Linked DNA regions of Coturnix japonica. The protein of the gene in region 1 purifies or fractionates together with the protein of each later gene. This does not show direct contact. Links are inferred from orthologs where the notes say so. Each region holds a gene or a part of one and is shown in the gene's direction. Other genes may lie near its edges. The genes, in order: KIAA0232 and DYRK1A.

Region 1 (4,475 bases):
CCAAGCTTTTCCGTTTTCAGTTTCAGCTCTTCTGAACAAGAAAATAAGTGAAACAGTAATTAAACAGCTCACGGAATGACTCCGCTCTTCCAGCACGGGGTTTGAAGCGCTGCTTTCTCTTCAGAGCACTCCCATAATACTCTGTCAAGGTTTGGAAGAAGCTGTGCTGATTAACTCCATGTTCATATGACACCAATTACTGCCTCGGCAGCATTCAGGACAACGTCAGTAGCTCATGCAGTCACACAGTCCCGCACATTTAACTTTAAAGATAGGTTTATTTGCTCAGCTAAATCAAATGTACAACTAAATGTGGTGCTTGGTAAAGAACAGCTAAAAAAAAAACCAAAACCAATTCCTGGCTAAAAATGAAAATTAAGGAGAAATAAGAGTAATGCTGTTGTCGTGTATCACAAATAAGTACGTGGGTGGGGAGGCAGTGGCCACTACCTTGGCACACATTCGTGGTTTCTATGAGTTTTCATACACAGGTTTAACTCTCTGGAATGCCCACACCCAGCTGCGGGATCATCTTGTCAGTGGGGAGCGTGGTTTCAGCATGGACAGCAGTGGTAGCATGAGCCTGGTTAATGGCTGTGAGTAAAGGGAAAACCCTCAGAATGACACGGTCTGACTTTGGCATCTTACATAATACTGACTTTCCTTGCACCTGCGTGTGCTCATACAGCTGAGAAATGAACAGACCCAACACACATCCAAGAGGGCGTTATTATTTCCCCAATTAAGACGCTTAATTAGCACTGCGGTGTGCCGCCCTCGTCGTATTTTCAGTCTCACCGCGGCCTACTTTCATCCATCCACCACACTAAAAGTGCTGCTCTTTCATCACCCCTCGGTGCACACACAGCTCTGACGAACCCGGCGCTTCATCCACGGGGATAAAAGTTTCTCATCTCCTCACAGCGGCTCCCAATAGCAGCCTTTCATTTCAGCCCGGCTCCCTCACCCACTCTATTCTCACACCGTGCCCTCGCAGTGCCCGCACACGGTGTCACTCCGTCATTATCCCCACTTCCTTCTCCTCCACATTCCATCCCCGGGCTCCTCCCGCCCCTTTTCTCCTCAGGCGCTCCCCCACCGGGCGGGGCCGCAACACCCAGGCGGCCCAAAGGGACATTTCCCGTCCCGTCCCGCCCTTCCTGCCGCCATGCAGCCGCTCTGCTCTCCCTCTCCGCTCCTCTCCCGTCCCCTCAGCCCCGCACTTGGGCGGCGGGATCGGGGCCGCCCTCTGGGCGGAAGGATCCGGGGCGGGGCCTGCGGCGCGGTCCGCCGGGGAGCTGAGTCCTGTTGCCGGGTGACGGAACGGCCGCCTCCCCCCCCCTCCCCTTCTCCCCTCCCTCTCTCCCTCCCTCCCCGTGGCGCTGGGAGCCGCCGCCGCCGCCGGTTTACGTAACGCCTCCCGGGGCAGGTCCCGGCTCCGTCCCGCCCGCCTCACTCGGGGACGGCCGCAGCGGGACGGAGTCCGCCGCCTCCTCCGGCTGCCAGAGGCCCCGGGCCCCCGCGCCGCGCCGCCACGGCAGGTAAAGCCCGGGATGAGCGGCGGGAGGGGCAGGGCCGGGGCGGCGAGGGGACGGGGACGGGGCCTCCATTGCCGCCGCCGCCGCACCGAGGGCCGGGCCCGGCCGGGGAGGCCTCCCTCGCTCCCTCCGTGTGCCGGCGGGAAGCTAGAGGAGGAGCCGCGGGGCCGGGCGGCGGGAGGACGGCTCCACGGGCCGGGCGGGGGAGCGGGGAGTGGAAGCGGCGGGAGGGGAGAGAGGGGCCGGCTGGGGGGTGACAGCGAGCGCCGGCGGCGGGCAGGGCCGGGAGGCGGGGCCGGGGGCCCGGCCCGGGGTGCCCCGGTACGAGCGGCTGGCGGCCGGCCCGGCCCCGCCCGCATCGTTCCGATCCGACCCGCGGGGTCCCGGCGCCAGGTGAAGGGCGGGGGGAGCCGCAGCGCGGGCCGGGCGCACCCGGGGGGGCAGAGCTGGAAGCTGCAGGGCAGAGCTCAGGGCAGAGCTCAGGGCAGAGCTCAGGGCAGAGCTGCAGGGCGGGCGGGGACGGCCGGAGCTCGGTTGGTCGTGACAGCGCAGCGCAGCGCGGGCCCCGCCGTGACCTTTCGGCCGCGCTCCGCCGGCTCCGGGCAGCGCAGCGGGGCTGAGCGCTGCGGCTCGGGGCGGTGCGGGCAGCTCCTGGGCTTCAGGCGGGAGGCGGCCGGCGGGACTCGGAGCCGCTTTTTTCTTTCTCTTCCCCCCCCGCCTCTTTTCTTTCCCCTCCCGGCAGCATTGTCCTTTAGGGGCCTATTGAAGGCAAAAGGCGGACAGAAAGGCTCGGGCTGCCGCCGGCGGGGGGCGGGGCTCGGCTGACGGCGGAGTGACGGCAGCCGCGTCCTATGGCCGCGCGGGGCGGGCCCGGCTGGGCCGCAGCCGCTGGCGGGCGGCGGGCGGGGCGGGGGCCAAGGTTTGCCGAAGGTTACGGCTGAACGCGGCAGCCGTCCGGCCCAGCATCCAGCCCGACGGACGGAGCCGGCTTCACACGGGCTGCGCTGCCCGGAGCGCGGCCACCCTCCTAAACTTTGAGAGAAGTGGGACCGCGGTGCGCTGCCCCGTTTTGTCTTTGTTTTAATGGCTCGTTGCGGTACCTGGCGCTTATGTGAAGGGTGAGGACGGTGCCGTTTGTCCTCTTAAGAGCAGGCATTCCTGCGGTCCCTCGTTTTCCGTCTGTGGGGTTGTAGCTGATAGGAGTGGAGCTGAGGACACTGCGGTGTGTGCAGCAGGTTTCCCTGCCAGCCCTTCGGAATGCTGGGCTTTATGGCCTTTTTTTTTTCGCACGCACGACTTTGTGTCGCTGTGATGAAGAGGAAATTGCAGATCAAATTGGGTGTCCCAGCTGTCACAGGTGAGCTTGCTGTGATTCAGCGGGTAATTGTATGAAGCAAGTTATTTCACCACAGCACCCGATCCCAAGCAATGCAGGCTGCTTGTGGTCCCTGCCCATCTGAAATGGCCTTTCTTAGATTTATTGCTGAAGACAGAAATATTCCTTATAAAAGTAAATGACACGTAACTTGCTCGTTACTTGATGTGTAACTCTGCGGATTTTATTTTGTACTGATCCTCCATCTGCTGCTTCTTGTCAGTATGGATGTGCTAAAATGGTCGTGTACAACCCTTCCCTTGCGATTAATAAAGTTTGTTGTGTGTGTGTGTCAAAATCCCCAAACTCCAGCACTGAGATGCCAGAGAGGAAGTAGATGACATGAATGAAGACAAGCAGTTCCTTATACGTGTGTCATGTCCTCCACGTTCCAAGAATTCTAGGGGAAAATCCTGCTTTGAACTCTGTGTGGAAAACCTCAGCAGTTGCTGTCCATGCCTCGTTGTGTGTAGCAGGTGTTCCCGTGCTGACAGCAATGGAACTTAATCTCAGTTTGTCTGTTTTGTGCACTGTTGGAGGTAATGATGCTTGTAGACTGCGGGTTGTGCAGATTGACATGAGCTACGTGACCCCATGGCCCTTCTGCTCATCAGCAGGTGAATCGAGAGGAAGAGGAGAACAGATTGATATGTGACCCCAGAGGAAAGATAGGAGGTCTTGAACATCTGTTACCTTAATATGCTGATTCCATAGCCTGCACCCCCCACTGCTTTCCCTCTTGTTGCTATTCATTGTTCTTCTGAGTAAGAGAAATTCCATAGGAGTAAAAGGATGTCAGCATTTTCCTTTGCTGCTTTGCTATGCGTTCTAGCAGGAAGAGGGACGAAGTGGGATCTGTACACTGCTTATAACTGAGTGTCAGCTTCCCTCCTTGTCCTTCCTAAGCTGCCATAGTATCACAGAGCCCCAGTAGGAATCCTAGTTATTCAGTTCAAACTGAGCAAAATCATCTGCCACTTCAGACTCTGCTTAAAGGAGCATTCAGAATCGCTTAATGATGGGTATTGAAAGTGGTATATGTTAAATATCACCTCTAAGCCCATCTAAATGATAATATATTCAAAGGTATATATAATTCTAGGGCTTCCTGTAGATGGTGTGAGAAAGAGACCCCCATTTCCATTTACTCCTTTGTAGCTTGCTGCTTTTATTTATTTTGCCCTTTATTCTTCAGACACACCTTGACAGCACATCTTTCATACTTGTCTGGTGGAATAAAGCGAAGCCCCTACAATTCTGCAGTGGTAATAACTTATTAATGTAAGGTGACGAGTGGTAACGGATGGTGAAGCAGAGTGTGATGAGGACAGCAAGGCTTAGAATTTCCATAGGCTGAGAGGTAGCAGGGATTGTTCTAGACAGCTGCACTGCTGGGGGAGCCTGGAACACTAATGGGATCCTGGGAGCTTGTTCATAAGGCCTTTTTTATTGGGATTGCCTTCTGTGTCGTGGGACAGAGATTGGAATCATACAGTTCAGCTCAGGAGCAGTGCCAGGCTCATTGGTCTTTTGTGAATATCGGTACAGAAATGAGTTGTCTT
Region 2 (3,811 bases), on another chromosome or scaffold:
GACATAGTGGTGGACACTTCACTGCTGCTGTTCAAGCTATGGACTGTGAAACACACAGCCCACAGGTATGCTGAAGTAGAGCTTTTGTCTGTTTGATGTATATATTTTTTCTGAGAGTGTTGAATCCCTGAAACTAATTATATTAGGTTTACATGACAGGGATTCATGTCATGAGTGGAGGGGGGATGCACAGGTGTCGTCTGGGAAAAATCTAGGAGCTGACCCAAGTTAGATAAGAGCAAGCTCCATCTGGCTTAAAAAAGGGACCAGCTGTTGGCCAGAACTGAGCCAAGAAGTGACACTGGTTGCACCTCTGTGGTAGCAGATTCAAGAAAGGGGAAAAAAAAGACTGTACAGCAGCAACTGGGAGAAAGGAATGACTAACTATAGAAAGAAACAGCTCTGCTGGTGCCAAGGTCTTGAGCAGGGGAGGGCAGCATATGCACCAGGTGTGGGTCAGGAGCTCTGCTGCAGCTCCTGGAGAGGCCCATGGAAACCAGAAAAGGTTGTACATACTACTTTGCAGCTGACAGATTCTTTTTCTCCCATGTATGTGATTTAACTCATTCAACAAATTGATGTGTTTCTAGATCTGGCTTACTTTAATTTGTCAGTGAGATCATTAATTGGACATACTTTTATTGTTTGGGAAAAAAAAAGTTCAGAATACAAACTTTTTATATTTAGAAATGTATATTAGAAATGAATAATCATTTCACTATTTGCTTTTCCTGTTAACGTAGGTTCGACAACAGTTTCCTCCTCCGATTGGTTGGACAGCCACTGAAGCTCCCACACAGGTCACTGTTGAAAACCATCCAGTTCAAGAAACCACCTTCCATGTAACCCCTCAACAACAGAATGCATTACATCATCATCACGGAAATAGCTCTCACCACCACCATCACCACCACCACCACCACCATCATCATGGACAGCAAGCCTTGGGTAGCCGGACCAGGCCAAGGGTCTACAATTCTCCAACAAACAGCTCCTCCACCCAGGATTCTATGGAGGTGGGCCACAGTCACCACTCCATGACATCCCTGTCTTCCTCAACTACTTCTTCCTCTACATCTTCCTCCTCTACTGGTAACCAAGGCAATCAGGCCTATCAGAACCGCCCAGTGGCTGCTAATACCTTGGACTTTGGACAAAATGGAGCTATGGACATGAATTTAACAGTCTACTCTAATCCGCGCCAAGAAACTGGCATAGCTGGACATCCAACGTACCAGTTTTCTGCTAATACAGGTCCTGCTCATTACATGACTGAAGGACACCTTGCAATGAGGCAAGGGATTGATAGAGAAGAGTCTCCCATGACAGGAGTTTGTGTTCAGCAAAGTCCTGTGGCTAGCTCGTGACTAAACTGAAACTAAGTTTGTTTCTTGTGTGTTTTTATAGAAGTGGTGTTTTTCCAAAAACAAAGTGCAAAGCTGCTTGAATCAGAAGGAGATAAACTCACTGAACCGCTACAGGAGGGCAAAGCTGACTATTTTTTTAGACTTGAAAAGATTGCAAAGGGACAATGAAGTTTTTTTTGGTTTGGTTTGTTTTTTTAAGAGCCATGTCCGGACCCACCTTAACAGATAGCATAGTAGCGTTCACCTTTCGCTTCCCCCATTTTAACTTGCCACAACCTAGTCATAGTTTGCTTTTTTTTTCTTGGGGACTGGGGAGGGGAGGGGAGAAAGAGGGGTTTTTTAAAATTTTTTTGGTTTTTTTTCCCCCCTTTTTCAGACTCATTCAACAGGGATTATTGTTCAAATGTTAGCTGTAGTTGCAAACTAGTTTCTTTTTAATGGCATTGCACATGATTTACAAAAAGGCCCTTTGAAATTTTTGGGTGGGAGAGGAGTGAATAAGATAAGTGTATTTTTTTTTAGTTCCCCAAACAAACATGGGCACAGAAATGCAGTACTGTAAGAAAGAGGGACCTTCAGATCACACAAATATATATTCTTCAGTTGTAAAAAGGGACGGTTGTAATGGATTTTGTAAGGCACATTAAGCATGATAAGTGGCGGTGATCAGAACTCTCCTTATCTGAATCTACTGAGGATCAAAGCAGCAATTGTAATGGGATTCTGCGTGTCTCATATTTTGGAGACCGCAGTCAGTTAGTGTTGAAATATGACTGGTTTCATAACTAAGGTGCACTGAGAAGCAATCAACGGGTCGGTCCTGGCCAGTCGTGGGGAGGTCTAAGTGGTGGTCTTTGGGATAACCTTTGGCCTTATGGATTTGGACTCTTAAGTTAGAAGAGCCTACCATTTCAGATGCAATCACTTTTGGACATGCTTTTGCAGACGGTCCTTAATGCTGAAAACACAGAGAATGGGTAATTCAAGAGGCCTTTCTTTTAAAATAGACTTTTGTGACCCACTTATTGTAAGGTATTGCAAGGTCACTTTGCGTGTGTCATAAAGTTGACTTCCTTATTGGTTGAAGGTCACAGGAGTAGTGGTTTGCGTTTGATGGAAATAGCTACAACTGTGTCCCTTCCCGCTTTTTACTTTTTTCTTTTGCTTTTTCTTGGCACGTGGTTTCTCCACCATTACTTCTGCACAAAGACGTCTTCTGTTCATCCTGAACATTTTTAAAAATGCAGAATTTTATGTGACTGCTTTTTTGCCTCACAATTATGCTGTGAATTTTACAAAAATTTATTTTCTTTTTTGATAATTTATTGTACCAAAGCTGTTTTTATAGCACATAGATGTCTGTAACCAATAATGTAGCAGTTCTGCACTTTGACACAAGGTGTAACTAGACCATTTTTAAATGTCAGTTGAAAATTATGGCTGTACTATTGCTTAAACAAAACTGGAACTGTTGTTGAATTCATAGCCAATACATTTACAGCAATCTGTGTACTGAACATAATAGATTGACATCTACTTCAAGACTATAACATCTGTTACATTATAAACGTGTTCAGGCTTCTGAAGGTAAAAGGGACGCTAGATCCAGAAGCTATGAAACCAGCAGTTTGATTCTTGTATTCCTTATTAACATAATTGTAAACTTGAAGGCAAGACCTTGATTGCATGAACAGGTCCAAAATAATAGTCTGAGTAAAGCAAAACACTCACATGAGACCTGAGGTTAGAAGGCTGTATTTAACAGGTGCCTAATTTTTGGGTAATGCTGCCTTAATATAACACAGTCAGCTTGGCAGTTGCAAAATTTATGGGCCCAGTCAGAGATTTATTAATATTAGAAGTAAAAGCATGGTGAAAAACATCTGAAAGAATAAGAGTGAGTCAGTGATTGCCCATCCCAGATTAACACTGTTTGCCCATTATATATTACAGAAGCAGTGATCTACCTCTGCCAGTAAGCCCTTTTAAAAGTTAATTCAGCAGAAATTCCGGAGTTCACACTGATCAGTTCCATGTGGCTAAGTAATTTTTTTTCAGACTAAAAGGTGGACTTTTTTATACTTGCAGTAGCAGCACAGCAGCTGAATACCATGTACATGAGAATGAATACTTGGGATTACCTTTTTTTTTTTTTTTTTTTGGTAAATCACGACTTTTTTATCAAGTGATCCATATTTCTTTTCTATTGAAGTGTCAACCCTGTGGATGAAAGTGGGTTGTTTTTTTCCTGATTGTTTTCCTTTCTTCTTAAACTCAGTGATTAAGAGAAGTTTACAGGGATTGGAAAGCTGTCACCTTAAAAACAAAAAGGATACTGAGTTCAGCAATATAAAAAGGAATCCAGTACTTACTGCTGTCTAGGAATATAAGGGTGATATGAAATCTGGGTATTTTTGTGTGCACGGGTTGCCACACCTTAGCAA

Evidence for each region.
Region 2: the proteins of KIAA0232 (region 1) and DYRK1A purify together in Homo sapiens (affinity purification with mass spectrometry; 3 studies listed by BioGRID and IntAct, with this or other methods). This does not show direct contact. The link is inferred for Coturnix japonica from reciprocal best matches to the Homo sapiens genes KIAA0232 and DYRK1A.

What each region holds. Positions count from the first base shown.
Region 1 is NC_029519.1:72,410,099-72,414,573, forward strand, and holds the start of KIAA0232 (uncharacterized protein KIAA0232 homolog), read left to right. Parts: upstream 1-1,371; 5' UTR 1,372-1,541; intron 1,542-4,475.
Region 2 is NC_029516.1:96,485,184-96,488,994, forward strand, and holds part of DYRK1A (dual specificity tyrosine-phosphorylation-regulated kinase 1A), read left to right. Parts: coding exon 1-65; intron 66-743; coding exon 744-1,367; 3' UTR 1,368-3,811. UniProt on the Homo sapiens protein: Dual-specificity kinase which possesses both serine/threonine and tyrosine kinase activities. Exhibits a substrate preference for proline at position P+1 and arginine at position P-3.